2 linked regions of the Lonchura striata genome follow. The protein of the gene in region 2 interacts with the protein of the main gene of each other region in a biochemical or structural test. Links are inferred from orthologs where the notes say so. Each region holds a gene or a part of one and is shown on either strand. Other genes may lie near its edges.

Evidence for each region.
Region 1: the proteins of RBBP8 (region 2) and CTBP1 form a complex in vitro, tested with the Homo sapiens proteins (3 studies listed by BioGRID and IntAct). The link is inferred for Lonchura striata from reciprocal best matches to the Homo sapiens genes RBBP8 and CTBP1.

The regions. Positions count from the first base shown.
Region 1 is NC_134606.1:7,055,811-7,063,191, reverse strand, and holds the start of CTBP1 (C-terminal-binding protein 1), read left to right. Parts: upstream 1-4,367; 5' UTR 4,368-4,491; intron 4,492-7,381. Other genes in the region: E3 ubiquitin-protein transferase MAEA, read right to left, coding at 3,562-3,630. UniProt on the Homo sapiens protein: Corepressor targeting diverse transcription regulators such as GLIS2 or BCL6. Has dehydrogenase activity. Involved in controlling the equilibrium between tubular and stacked structures in the Golgi complex.
Region 2 is NC_134603.1:47,357,189-47,365,101, reverse strand, and holds the start of RBBP8 (DNA endonuclease RBBP8), read left to right. Parts: upstream 1-4,903; 5' UTR 4,904-4,994; intron 4,995-7,896; 5' UTR 7,897-7,913. UniProt on the Homo sapiens protein: Endonuclease that cooperates with the MRE11-RAD50-NBN (MRN) complex in DNA-end resection, the first step of double-strand break (DSB) repair through the homologous recombination (HR) pathway.

The DNA.
Region 1 (7,381 bases), on a different chromosome or scaffold from region 2:
GATCCCTCCCCTCTATTCTAACTAGAACTCAGACCCACCCAAAACGCCGTGTCTAGTTTTGGCTCCCCTGTCCAACATGGGCGCACTGGAATGAGTAAAGAGAGATCCCTACCAGACTGGAGAATCTGACATGGGAAGAAGGGCTGAGAGGGCTGGGATTGTTCAACCCAGAAGAGGCCCAGGGGAAGCCTTGTCAAGGTGTGTGAATACCCAAAGGGGACAACAAAGAAGATGGAGCCAGACTTCCCTCAGCAGTGGCCCATAAAAGTACAACAGGCAACGGGCACAAACTGAAATACAGAAAATTTCCTGTCAACAAAAAGTTACATTCTTTTAGTACCACACAGCAGACAAACAGGGGAATAGCTTTGCCACGAGAAGCTGGAGTGTCCATCTTGGAAGATAACTGAGAATAGTCTGGTCATGGTGCTGAGCAACCTGCTCCAGCTGATCCTGCTTGGAGGGCAGGCTACTGGACTAAATTGTCTGCAGTGGTCCTTTCTAACCTCAGCTATTCTGCAGACACAAGACAGAAACAACATGCACTTCATACAAACCTGGTCTCTTACATGTTTCCCTGGAACAATCCAAAAATTGCATTTCCATGAGAAATTACAATCTTATTAGATCTGTTGTATTTTCTCTGACAGAGATGCCAACAAAAGAAACCAAACACTTGCTCAGAGAAGGCACTGACATATCCTGTGCTTCTACAACTCTCCTGTTGCAACTTTTTTTTAAAGCACTAGCACATCAGCTAAGCCAAAACTGCTTGCCAACTAACAGCCCAGAATATTTTCAAAAGTGATCATTCCTGCTTTTGGGTCTTGCATCTTCCACTTTTGGGATCTTCACATATACAGCTTGCTATCACTTTAATAATTATTCATACTTTAAAAATATGGATGAATTATCCAGCTTCCTGTCATCACTTGTTTATTATTTTCAGAAAAGAACTCTGATAACAATGTTTGCATTCATTCATTTTCAAATTGCCAGCTTTCATCTTACATGCTCTCATCTGAGACTAGCAGAATTCCCCATCAGTAGGATTAAAGAAAAAAAAAATCCACAGCAGTTTGCAAGAAGAATAGCTGACAACCTTCTTGTCCTTGAGAAGGGACTGGAGGGTGTAGGGGGGAATATTCAAGAATTATTTTGTACACTTAAAGAGCTTCTCTAGATTCAGCTGAAGAACTGTATTTACTTCCCCTGAGCCAAACTGCTGAAGAAGGGCTCAAGTATTTCCACTCCAGTAGCAACCACAATTTAGCTCTGGAGCAGGGATTTCCCTCTGCAGTTTGAAGCACCCTTTCACATGGAAAGCACTCTGTGGAACACACTGTAAATGTAGAACTATTACACAACTATTATCTAGTGATGCTGGCATGAGGAAGCTAGAGGGAAGAAACAGGAAGGATATAAATACAAGTCTGCAATCTTTTCTATTTTACTCACATAAGGGAAAATCACCAGAGCTCCAAGAGCTACATCTGAGCTACTGTGCTGGTGAATAAAAAAAAAACCAAAACCCAACAGTTATACACATTCATTTTACACAGCATTTGAATAAACTGGAAATAAAAATTCAGATTCTCAGTTTCACAGAAACTTGTAGGCACTTGACTCCTAAAGATCAAAATGAGATTTCACATCAACTTACTTTAGTAGACTTTAGCCTTACTGTTCATTTCTCTGTGCTGCTTTTCCACCTTCACCAGTAAAATGTTTTGATATATGACTCACAGCTGAGAACATTTCAGAGGACACATTCAAAAGATTTGAGCAGACACTGTTCTGGTAGGTTTTTTTAAACAATGAAAAATGTTACCAAAGATTACAGGAACAACCCAGAAGTTGAATGGCTGCTGGGAAGAGTCAATAAACATCACCTTTGCTTAGAAATTGAGAGTTTCAGTGCAAGGGTGTCTCACCCTCTTACTATTTAGCTTGCTAACTTTACAAACAACATTCCATTCTGTTATGTATATTTTTGTTGAGGTATTTTAGGGGAAAAGAATGCCTGTGAAAATAAAAGAATTAGTCCAAAATATTCTCTACCTTTTAAATAGCTGGCACCTTGACAATTCATCTTAAGTCATAAGCACCACAACAAAAAACTCACTGATCCTCACTGCCAGTAATTTTTCAGGAATGTAGCAATCAAATCTGTGGTAACAACTCTAATACACCTAAAATGCAGTCTTAAAACGATGTTCTTAGCATTAAATGCCTTCACATTGTTCTGGCTATGGGAAGTGCCAGAGAGCTCTTTACAGCTATTTTAAAATTTAAGCCTGATGCTGTCAGGTTCAAAGTACTTCTGGGCGAAAGAATGGAGCCTTCACATGTAAAAGGAGAATCAACACTTTGTCCTTCTCCTTCTCAGACCCGAGCAGAACGGAGCTGGTGGAGGAGGACATGCACAAGAAGAACATGGCCAGAGAACCTGCAGAACCAACACTGTAAAGAGCACACAATGCTCAGCGTGTGAAGGACAGCATGATCACAGCACAACAAAGTTGACTTTGCACAAACATCTTCTACAGATGGCAAAATGTGGATACGCTGACACGAGAGATGTCTAAAGAAGCATTCTGCAATAGAGATCCTTCTCCCATGTCCTTTCCACAGCTGCTGCTATTTATGTGGTAAACCTCCTGTATACACAACTCGAGACTTCAAACAAAGGTTCCCGTTGATTCCTATGAGCATCATCCTTGCAGTTCAACAGTTCTCGGAGGCACTGAGCGTTAAGGTCATCGCCGAGTCCTTCACCTGCCTCACAACACCTGGTTAAAGCCCAAGACCACCTATGCAGCCCTGGAAGACCTCCATCCTGCAGGCAGACACAGTATGTCAAGGAACAGCTTTTCCCAAACTGTATTTTGGCTTATTCGGCTCCATAGCCCTCCAGTACGTCTGAACCTTTTTATATTTTAAGCTCATCTCCATCTTCGGGGGACCAAGCAGCCAGGGAACCATATTACACTGCCACCTCCACTCTCTCCCCTTTAACACGTCTCCTAACAACGCCACGTAGATCCAGATAATCACCTGGGATGAGCACGTCAGGCAGTCCTCGGCGTTCCTGAGGGAGTGCATTCCACTCACACGCCCCAAACCCTCTCCCCCAGCCCGGCTCCGTCCCAGCCCGCTCCCCCCTCACACCGCCCCGCGAGCACAAGGACCTCACTTCTCTCCCAGCTCCTTTCCAGCTCCTTCTGTGTCCCCAGCGTGGCCCGGGGGCCTCCCCCGTCCCCTCAGGGCACGGAGACACCAGGGAAGAGCCGCATATTCCAGGCACGTCCCTCTCCCTCCGCGGAGGGGGATGGGAACAGCAGCAGCGGAGCGGCACCAGCCGAGACGTCAAGCGGAGGAAAAACGAGGACAGGCGGGAACTACGCGATGGGAATCGCTCCCAACCTCCATCCCGCAGCCCCGGGGCTCCCGAGGCGGGGAGAACCGGGGGTAGAAGGGGCTCCCCCTCAGCGCTGCTCGGGCGGGACGCTGAGGGCGTTAACGCGCTCCCCCCGCGCCGGGGGGCGGCCCGGCACCCACCTTGAGAGTGGGGTACTCCTGCACCTTCAGAGTCATTGAGAGCTGAGCGGCTGATTCCTGCACCGCCATCTTGGATCGGGCACCGGCCTCCCCCGCCCTCCCTGCTCTCCCTCCCGCCCTCCTTCCCAGCGCGTCCCGGCGGGAGCTACCTACGGCGCGCGCGGCATACCGGGAAACGGCGCGCGCCCCGCCCCGGCCCTCATGGACGCGGGCCGAACCAACGCCGCGCTCTGCCCCCCCCCGCCACCGCCGCGGCTTGGTACGCTCCGCGGGGGCGGAGACGGAGGGAGAGTGACGGCGCGCCGGCCAATGAGCGGCTCGCTCCCTCACGTTCCCCCGCCGGGAGTGTCGGCACCGCCCCAGGGCTCGGAGAGCCGCGCCTGAATGGGCAGCGGGGAGGGAATGGGCGGGGCCGCGCCGAGGCGCGGACAAATCAAAGGGGACTACGGCAGCGGGATAGGCGGGATTTGGGGCGTTATGGACACCCAGCCACTCAGTGGAGGCAGAGAGCCGTTTCCCATGGCCCAATCAGAACATGCTCTGGGACTCAGTGGGCGGGGCCTAAAAGTAAATTTTGCTGGTGACTTCAAACGGCCGTTTTAACACCCCCGAGGTGTCCGGGAAGGGGAGGGGCGGGGCGCGGGGCGGGACGCGCTGTGATGGACAGCGCTTCCAGCCAATGCTGTCGCTTCTCGAGTTGACGGGCAGGCTGCTGAACCAATGACCGGTGCGTCTGGGCGGGCGGGCGGAGCGGCGGGCGGCGTGTGGCTGTGTGTACATCGGGAGGGGCGGGGCCGCCCCCGTGAGTTCCGCGGGGCGGAGGGAGCGAGTGGGAGCCAGTGAGGCGGAGACGGCGGGAAGAGGTTTAAATAGCGGAGACGGCGGCAGCCCCCTGCCCTCGGCTCCCCGGGCCGGCGCCGAGTTTCCCCGGTGAGCGGAGGCGTGGGGCGGGCGCAGCTCCCGCCGCAGCCGGGCCGGTCCCGCCCGCCCCGCGGGGGACGGGGTGGGGAGGGGGGCGGCTCCGCTCGGCCGCCGGGGTCTCCGGTGGTCCCTTCGCGCTCCCGCAGCCGCGCCGGGGAGCGGAGCTCGGGCGCCACAGGTGCGGGGTTCGGGCGGCTCCGGCCGGTCCGGGTGTGCGCGGGCTCCCGGCGGGCTGTGGATCTCCATGGCTGCGCTCGGAGGCTCTGCGTGACCCGCTGACCTCTGGCCGGCCCCTGTAAGGTGACAAGCACCGCTGTAAGCGAGCAGTAAGTCCTCTGCCGGACGTACGTGAGTGTTTCCATTAAAAAGAAAAACAAAAAACCAAACAGGGACGCGGTCCTGCAGAGTTTCTACTTGTGTGTGCGAGGGAATAAAGACGCTCTTGGAGTGTCAGTCCTAATGTAAAGCTGCTTTCTGGGTAAGGCGTAGAGGGCAGTGTCTCGGTGTTCGCTCCTCGCTGGTGCTCCTCAGTGGTGACACGGGCACTGGGACAGAACCTTCATCACCGCGAGCGTGCAGCAGAGGGGAAATGTGCCCGCAGCACCTGGGCGTGCAGTAAAATACTAACTTCATTCTGCTGCTGCCGATGTCAAAAGTTAAGTTTCTTGATGCACTGGCAGCAAATGTGCTTCAAGCAGTGTGCTGCTTGAGTTTGAAGCTTTAAAGAGACCCTAAAACCTGTATCTATCAATAACCGTGATGATTTTTTTTTCTCTCTAATCTTTGTGGCTATATTTTTACTGGGCTGCAGAAGACTGAGGGAAAATAAACACCAATACTTCCAGGAGGAGCGAACACATTTAACTTCCATGGTTTGAAAGAGCAAGTATATTTCTGAGAATATTTGGTGGCATTATTTCTGATGTGCATAGACCTCATTGCACTGAAAATATCTGTCCAGGAATGGGGGTAAATAAAAGGGAATGTGGGAAGTCATGTAGTTGAGTGTTAGATTCTCTTTGCCTCCCAATTCTTTTTACTGATACTTACTCACAGCTGCCCTAGCATTCAGCCTCGTGCTGACCATAACCAGCAAATGTATGCCTAAACATAATTTACCAAGCCCATACCAGTTGCAAAGCCTTTGTCTGAGAAGTGTGTTAGTAAAACTTTTGTGCTAGTTGCACCTGGGATTAGCGTTCGTGTCTAGACATGATCTTGGGACCAGATCCTGCAAGAGGATTTTTATAAGGGGGATTTTGACTCCATTAAGGCTCTGTGCAGGGAATGGTTCATCCTGGGCTGCTTGGGTGGAGGATCGAAAACTTTGCTCAATTGTTGCTGTATTTACAAACATAATTATGTGGCATTGTAAAATATTCCTGTTCTTCCTGTCTGTCTTAAATATCCTGTAAGCTAATATTTAGAAGGAAATTTGCTCTTGAGTATTCTGTGTGATTATGGTACTGAACAGCTTGAACCTGTCATACCTTGACTCTGTGATGGTTATAGGGATTGAAGAAGTGTGACTTGCCATGAAGTTGATCAAGTCATGTACATATTTGTCCAAGACACTTATTTGCAACAAGTTTTGTTTATATATAATCTCTTAATAGTCCTGATAGTTCTGATAATACAGTAGCTAGTTTAATGTAGCACAGATACTCTGTGGATACAGGTTATGTGCTCAGACTGTCTTTAAACTGGAGGGTTATTGGTGAGGCTTTCTCAGACGTTAGTAGCCAGAGCTAAAGGGGTTGCTTGATGGAACAGATGGCCAAGCAACCATCATGTCAGAGGAAACAGCATGCATTCGTGTATTCTTAGTTTAACACAAGAGGGAGCATGTCTAATCTTTAACCTTTAAATATTGCAACTTCAGGGAGAAAGCTTGAAGTGTTGAGTGTCAACTAATTTACGTTCAAGGCTCCATGTGCAAATATTGATACAACCTATGCATATTTCTGGCATGTTTTCAGCTGTAGTCTGCAGCTGTTGATTTATATTGTAAATGTTGGCATGATAAATGTGGGGATGAGAACTAAGCTAATGATCTTATGAAGTTGTTAAATTCTGTAGTTTCCTGCTAAATTAAACAAAATATTTATGGCTATTGTTATTCTTGGGTATGGTCATTAATGTACTATGGTTGTACTTTTTTTCCTGAATATTAGGCTAATATATGTCCTCTGCTTAACCTACCATACAAACTTACAAAGCTGAGTCTTAATCTAATTAAATTTAGTTTAATTGCCTATATGCCTTTGCTTTTAGAGTTCTTATAAATCCTACCACTTTATTCTTCAGTAGGAAGTATGAAGTTGGATCTACTAAGACGTTTGGTACTGTATCTTCTTTAGTTTTTCCTTGTCCACTGGTGTCATAAAAGGTAGATGAAAAATCAGCTTCCATTTTGTATTTCTTGGTTGTCCAGTTGAATCATAATGTGTTAATGTTTGTCCTCATTCAGTGTCTTGTTAATGTGAATTAGCAATTAGTTTAACTTAAGCAGTGTGCAGAGAATACTCCAAACCTTTAGGAGAACTTCACTCATTTTTTTTCCAATAGCCTTCAGCTTTGCTCCAGATTAATGATCAGAGAAAAACATTAAACACTGCATGCAAATGATGTATCTTTCAGGAACACAAACATTCTGTGTTATTTGGTGGAGCAGAGCAGAAACCTCAGTGCTCTGCTTTCATACGCTGAAGAAAACTGCTGTGAATTGAGATTTTACCACACTTGCTTCTCTTTCCTCTCTGGGGCCATTATAACCCCAGTGCCAGGAGGCAGAAGTGGGTGTGTGTCACCATCATTTCTTGTATTTGCAGACCAGACTGGCCTAAGGCACGAATATGAAGGCCTGTGCTGGTTCAGGTGGGAAGGAGCACAGGTTGTC
Region 2 (7,913 bases):
GTGAAAACAAAGCTGTGGAATCTGGTAACTGATTAACTACTGGAGCACAGTACTGGCTGAGCTGAATAGAACGGAATGAAGACAGGTTTTGTCATGCCTGTTAGGACAAAATAACTCTTTAACTTAAGTAAATGTGAATCTTCTCAACATCTGTGTAGCTACATTTTTAAAAGCCCTCACATAACTATTTCCGTCTCCTAGGAATTCTTGATTTTGTCTAACTTTAAGCAACACAGTTACCATTCTCTTTTGCAATGGAAAAAAAACCCCATATCAGAATCAGTGGATACAAACCACTAGATACAAAATGTCTATACTGGATTATGTTAGATTTTATGGTAGTCACACAACAAGAAGCTTCAATTATGTTTACTGCCAGCTATTTCCAGGCTGATGCTAAAATTAATATTATTCTTTTGTAGAGTGCCAAGAAAAAGGCCTCCTGGGCTTCTTAAAAAAAATCAATGAATTGAAATAATTTTCTTATTAGCAGCGCTGTAGGTGTGTGTATATTTTTTTCCTCAAAGTGTGGATAAACAGAAAAGAACATAGGAAAATTTGGTAGTCTCACAGAGGCTGATAATATTCATCAGGAAAAAATGTTCAATTTTCTTATATTCTTGGTTGATTCTGCTATCAAATATGTAATGAAACTTACTAAGGGATAAACCATTCTCCAAATAAAATTACAGCTGGCTGAACTGTATAGTTTGCACAAAAACTCTGTGTAGAGCCCCTAAAATGCTACAAGATAGTGTTGATTTCTAAAGCTATAGGATTTTAACACAGAACATATTAAATAGATTTAAAATTCAAACTAAATAAACCACTTTTTCAAAATGCTGCTTGCCATCCCCACTCCAGTTTATGTGTTCAGTTTTATTTGGGTTTTCCTCAGCTGCCTTTTTTTTTTTAGGGGGCTGGATGCACAGGGGCTATTGTTTGGGGATTCTTTTCCTCAAATGGTAAGTATTAATTCCTATATGTTGCTTCTTTTCTGTCCCTGAATTCATGTTGTTCACTACAGTAAAAGGTAGGTGGCATGATTTTTTACACGGATCTGTTAACTTTTACTTCAGCCTTCCAAAGCTGAGATAAATACGTGTAACTACTCAAACTGGTCATGTTACCTTGAGAAACATCAGTATGAGCAAAACATTGTGTTAGCATGCAGCTAACACAAATAGGTGCTGCTGCTTAGAGCCTGAAGACCAGGAACACTGCACTGGGGTCCTGCAACAGCATCCCTCATGTTGCCTTTTTGTTTTTAACCCATCCATCAAGTCTTCCTAAGAGACCTGAGAGTTTGAGTTGAAAAAGCCCTGGCAGTTTCTAACTATAGATGAGGGGCAGTGAAAGCACTTCAAAGAAGAGGGCTCCTTAAAATGAACAGCATTACTGGCATTGGGGAATTTGATCTTGGCTCAGTTTCAAACATGGCTATACAAGCCCTTGAGAAGAATCAAATTCAACTAGTGGGGTGATGGAGTGGCTCCTCCCTATTTTTCCAGAGAAGGCAACCACCTGTGCCAGACAGCAGTGGTGGTGTCTGTTGTCTATGTGCCCTCCCAGCTGTACGAAATCATGCTACTCAGAGCACTTCCAGTTCCTACACTTCCAGTTAAATCTCATTTAGGTAGCAGCTCAACTGTGCCATATACTCATATTTGCTGCATCTGAAGTTGGGCTCCTTTGATGTCCTTATTGGCAATTGAAACATAACTGAAACTAACTGAAAATTGATAGTGCCACCTACTATCATAGGATTAAATTGTTGATACCATCCAGGTCTAAAATGGACTAGGACAAAATAAGATTCCCTTTTTGCAGAATTGCTCATGGATAAGTGTTCTGTCACCTAGTTCAATGGGCCACAGTATGGGTTATTCTGAAATCTGGACACGAGCCATGACACCACAGGAAGTTTCATATCTGTTCAAGCGCAGCAACAGTGAAGCATTTTTCCCACAGTTTTATTGTCTAGGTGTGTGTGTTTACTCTTACGAGGTGAATGAGATGCAGTTCCAGTCAGACTAGTCATCTTAAGACACTCAGTGTGGGAATGTGGAATATCAGACTCTCCAGTAGTTTTCTAGCACATTCAATGACCCAGGAATCTATTCAGTGGTCAACTATGTGATTACAGAGTACATAAAATCAAATAAATGTGGAAGAGAGATAAAATAAAAGTTCAACCGTTAATGTTAATCCCTTTTCACTTACTGTGGAGTAGATAAGGATAGCACTGTAGAAGACAGAGGATTTATATTGCTGTAAAGATCAACATGAGAGAGTATGAAAACAAACAGCTCAGAGTTTATTGGGAAATAAAATGGATGACATAATTATTTGCCAGAGTGCTTCCTATAAATAGTAAGAAAGGTACAGTTTATGGTAAAATATCTGATCAATCAGCCAGAGGACTATTTCATTGTTACTTATCAGATCTGTGTGTAGATTTAAGACATCTGCTTCTCTTAACATGAGGAAATGATTGCTTGCCTACATCACAAACTTTTAGGTTACAGAAGTTTCAAAAGTTGAATGAAAAGCTGCCAACAAGCATTATTTAGAAAGACTGGAGTGTCTATCACAGCCTATTATGGCATGACAGCTTCTTCCAAAACACGTAGGTAATTTTAGTTCCACCATATGTCTACTAATTTGATAATGGATTAAACTTACAATTTGATCTTACAATAAGTAATCTGCTGCTGAGCTCCTGAACAACACATTCATTTTATTTAAGTCAAAAACCAAGTGGTTAACAATGATGAGGAATGAGCAGAAAAGAACAAGATTTTTTCAAAATACTTCAGAATTCATGGTATGTACTTGATGGGAAATCAACAATATTCTCAACAATGGGGAACAATAGATTTGAAGCTTGAATCATGTGTCATCTCCTTTCTGACAGTACTTCAAAATACCTCAAAAATGTTGAAATAGTATTTCAGATCCAGTTTTATTTATGCTGCAGCTCCTTATTTATGATGTTTTCTTGAGACCTGAGTGATCTGAGTAATGTAAAAATAATTAGATGGAACAGCTACTAACAATTATGAAATACCTGAACACTTAACTTTTTAAATATTTCTATTAACGATCTAGAAAGTATATGTTTGCAGCACTGTCCCTTCCAAACTGATTACTATTATGTCTTCTAGTCATGCCACCAAGATGTCTCTGCAAGAATTCCTATACATACCAAAATGGTCCAGTGAAATCATTTAAGGCAGACTAGTAATAGTGAAAAACTGTGTTTTGTTTCTATTTCATCACTAAGAACTACCTAAAATCAAGGGGTTTATCTCATTGCAGACAGTAGGGCTGGTCCCAAATAGGGGAAAAAAATAACATTGAGAAGTAACAAAAAAGTTCAACAGCCTTATATTGTACTAATTATATGTGCCTACTGGTTTGCATACTTACCTAACACAAAAATATGCCTAGGCTGCTCTGTGGTACAGTAAAATGACAAGTCATAGAAACTGTTAAGGTCGAGAGAGTGGGGGGAAGCCCCCCCCTCCCCCCCATACTTCTGTGTGTAAGCCCCAGCAAGCAGATTACAAATCCTGGGGCACAGATAGATTTAACAGCACAGCCTCAAAGGCAAGGCCACTTCTGGAACAGTTGTACACCCTGGTGATCCTCTTGACATCTAAACCAGCAAGAGTTTCTTTCAGGAAGGCTGAGGCAGCATTTGTTTCAATGCAGGCTCCCGCACACCCCCTTGCTTTTCCAGAGTATTCTGTGCCTGCTGTGACACTGAACTGTGGCACCAGCTGTGGCCTGGCTTGTCCCCTTGGCTTTCTTCTGGCAGCTCTCTGTGGTAGCCCCAATTAATGGGCCAGAGAAGAGGACTGAGACAACACCTGGTGACATCGATGAACAAACATGAGCCAGCAGTGCCGTTAGGTGGCCAAGAAGGCTGATGGCATCCTGGCCTGTGTCAGAGAAAGTGTGGCCAGCAGAATCCTGTACCTGGCACTGGTGAGGCTGTCAGGCTTGGGCCCCTCAATTCAGGAAGGACACTGAGGCGCTGGAGTGTGTCCAGAGAAGGGCAGCAAAGCTGGAAAGGATCTGGAGAACAGGTCCCATGAGGAACTGCCGAGGGAGCTGGGGCCGTGCAGCCCTCGGGAGGCTCAGAGGAGGGAGCTGGGGCCGTGCAGCCCTCGGGAGGCTCAGAGGAGGACGCTGGGGCCGTGCAGCCCTCGGGAGGCTCAGAGGAGGACGCTGGGGCCGTGCAGCCCTCGGGAGGCTCAGAGGAGGGAGCTGGGGCCGTGCAGCCCTCGGGAGGCTCAGAGGAGGGAGCTGGGGCCGTGCAGCCCTCGGGAGGCTCAGAGGAGGATGCTGGGGCCGTGCAGCCCTCGGGAGGCTCAGAGGAGGGAGCTGGGGCCGTGCAGCCCTCGGGAGGCTCAGAGGAGGGAGCTGGGGCCGTGCAGCCCTCGGGAGGCTCAGAGGGAGCTGGGGCCGTGCAGCCCGGGAGGCTCAGAGACTTTACCGCTCTCTACAACCATCAGGGAGGAGCGTGCAGCCAAGTGGGGGTCAGCCTTTTCGCCCAGGCAACAAGTGACAGGACAAAAAGAAGCGGCCTCAGGTTGCTCCAGAGGCGGTTTAGGTTGGACGTTAGGAAGTTTCTTCACAGAAAGGGTGAGTAGACATTGGAATGGAGTGCCCAGGGAGGTGGTAGAGTCACCCTCGCTGGCGGTGCTAAGGAAAGACTGGACGTAGCACTTAGGCTGGACTCGATGGCCACTGTTGTGTTCCACCCAGCGAGTCCCGTGACGCTGTGACTGTCACCCCCGCACCCGAACCCCCCGCGACCGCCCGGCGCGGGGGCTCGGACCCTCACGCTCCCCTCTCTCGCGAGAGCAGCGCGGAAGCCTCGCGAGAGCGGCCCGCGGCCCCGCCTCGCCGGGCAGGCCAGGCGCTCGCTGCGGCTTTTCCTTTTTTCCCGCCGCTGGCGCGAGGAGCCGGCGGGAGCCAACCAGGTAACGGCGCGCGCTCTCCTCATCCCGCGCCGGGGAGAGACCGCGAGCGCCGCCCCCGCCCCGCCCCGCCCCGGGACGGCCCCGCCGCGGCCCCTCCGGCCCCGGTCCCCGCCGGGGGCTCCTCAGGCGCTGCCCGCCTGCCCGAGGGAGCCCCGTTCTCTCCGTCTGGCAGGCTCCCGCCGCTCGGGAGAAGCGGCGTGTGGGACATGCCATACCGCTCCTCCGGCGTCCCGGCTGCGGGGTGTGACCCGAGCCTGGCGGGAAGCTCCCAGGTGTTGGTCATGGCAGGATTTCCCAGAGCATCCCGGCGTGTCTCTCGAGTGAGTTTTCTGTGCGGTGTTCGTGCAAGAGGGGAAAGAGAACGAAGCCCACCGCCGGGAAGTGCAGGAGAGTTGCGTTTGTAGGAGCAGCCGGTGGGGACCACGGCGCCGTGTGCTCCCCGGAGTCCCGGAGGGGCGGTGCGTCCCCGGCCGAAAGGCATCAACGCCGATAAGCAGCCTCGGCGCGTTCATCCGTGCTGACGGACTCCCGCAGGCAATCGTTGATGAAGCCCTGGAAAGCCTGACCGTGCCGGCGGGAGTTGATTTGTGGAAGCAGAGGGAAATGGACGCGTTTAGGTGGTTCTGTGAAAGCGGCAGTCGGCAGGATAGCAGCAAAGCAGGACATCCGGGAGAGGGGCTGGCGCTGTGCTTCCACCCCAAGCAGCTTCCAGTTCTGTCCCTGCCTGCAAGTGTCCGTACATCCAGCCCTGCTGTTTTTTCCCCTAAGGACTGGAAAGCAGTTTCTTGGGGCTGGAGACTAAGCCATCATTTTTACACTTGTGCAGCTGCCCAGGCCTGTCAAAGGCTCGACTTGAGCGCTTCTTGCGAGCCCGGTGTTTTAAGAGATGTTGAACACCTGTAGGGAGCAATGTATCATTTTGGTATCTTGAAGCTTGGGAAAATGCTTTGCTCATTTTTTACTATTTGTAGTCGGTTGATGTCCGAATAATTTGCAGAAACTCTGAGCGGGTTTTGTGCATTTTTTTTATTGCAGTCATCTTAGGGAAAAAAATCCAAAAAAACCACTACAGACACCATTTACTGTCTAGACTCAGGTGACTTTTTCATGGAAATGAGTCATCTGACATACTTAAATCTCAAACAGTAAGTGAAACAAGCATGTGGTTTTCACTGCCCTAGTGCTTGACAGAAAAAAAGCTTGATCCTGAAACATCTGTTGAAGGTGCAAAGCAAGAGTTTAAATGCCATTCCTAATGTCACTAGGCAGTTGGTTCCACAAAGAAGTGTTGTAAGATGGTTTAATGTGGCTGCACACAAAGTGGAGCATTTCAGCTGCAAAGATGCAAGCAAATCACTGTCCAGCTTATGTTGAAAACGTGTAAGCATTGCTAATTTCAAAGGGTAATTTTATTTTCTACTAAGGAGTTCTCTGAACATTTGCTAACATGAAGCCATATCCTGAATTTGCTAAGGACAGAGCAGGTTAAAGCAAATGTGGAGCTGCTGGCTGCATTATTGTAAGATTTAAATATCCTTATACTATAGAAAACATACAGTTCAAGTGTTTCTGTTGAGAATATTGTTTTGTTCCATTGTAAAGACAGCCAGACTGAACAAAAGTTACTTAAAAGCGTGCACAGAGGAGTGAGACAGGAGAGTGGAACTGAAGCCTCCAGGCCCTACACTTGATCACTGACCAGTGGACTGAACAATTTATTGTGGTGAATCTGGGAGACCAGCTAAACCAGTAGCTGCATTTAGATACTCTTAAGTTGTTTAAAGGCTTTCAAGATGGGAAACGCAGCTTCTTGACTAGTCACAGACCATGTATCATCTGAACTTGTACCTCAAAAATTTTAGAGCAAATTGTTCCTTCCATTTGGCAGTATAGGCATGATGGTTTGCTTGCTCAAGTTGCTAATTTAGGAATAGTATGAAATACCTAGCTTTTTTTTTTTTCTTACTGCATTTTATATTACAATATCATAGAGATAGATATGTCCACCTGGTAATGAACAGTCCCTGTTCAGAAGTGTTTGTTTAAAATTGACTGCATAAAAATGAGGAATATCCATTTTCACACAGAGGGAACTGAAGGACAGAGATTACAGAAGTATTACAATATTGGACACCAGTAGTGTCCAGTAGAATTGAGTATTGGACACCAGTAGTGTCAGTAGAATTGAATCTTGCCTTGGCTCAGAACCAGATCTGAGTACCGTGCTTCCTCTGTAGTTGGCCTGAGGGCATCATCCCTGTAAAAAACCCTTCAAAACAACTGAGAATTATGGGTAAGATTATCCTAAATTTTGTAGGCAGTCACGCTTCTAAGAGCTATATGACTTTGATTGTTCTTCTCAAATATTGTTTTGGAGATTTATAGATTTTTGTGATTACTCTCCATTTTTTTTTTCATCAGGGAATTGGAATAATTTTAATATAGAATTATGAACACTTCAAGGGGATGTGAGTTTTTCTTTGCAAAAGGATGTAATTTGAATTTGAATCCAAATTTATGTAAACGATGTATATAGACAAATCCATCTCTGATAAAACTTTTGACAAATGCTTTTGCTGACAGCCAGATTTTGGCACTATGGCTTACTTTTGGAAAACAGGAATTCGGTATAATTCTATCTTTATATAAGAAAAAAATAAAGACTCTTAAGTGGTTTAATCTAATTTTAGGTTGATAACTTTTTAAGGGGAAGAAAATTCTGTTAGTTTGTAATTATCTGCGGCAAAATACTTAGCAGTGTCCAAGCTTTCAGGGTGGTTGTCAGTGTGAAAGTATATAAATATGTATCCTCAACAAGGATAGACAGTAAACTTTGTATTTCATCCATGGCTACAAGTGGTGCTCTGATAAATTCAAATGTGTTATCATTCTGTTGTTACAGACATACGCCCCTCTTCA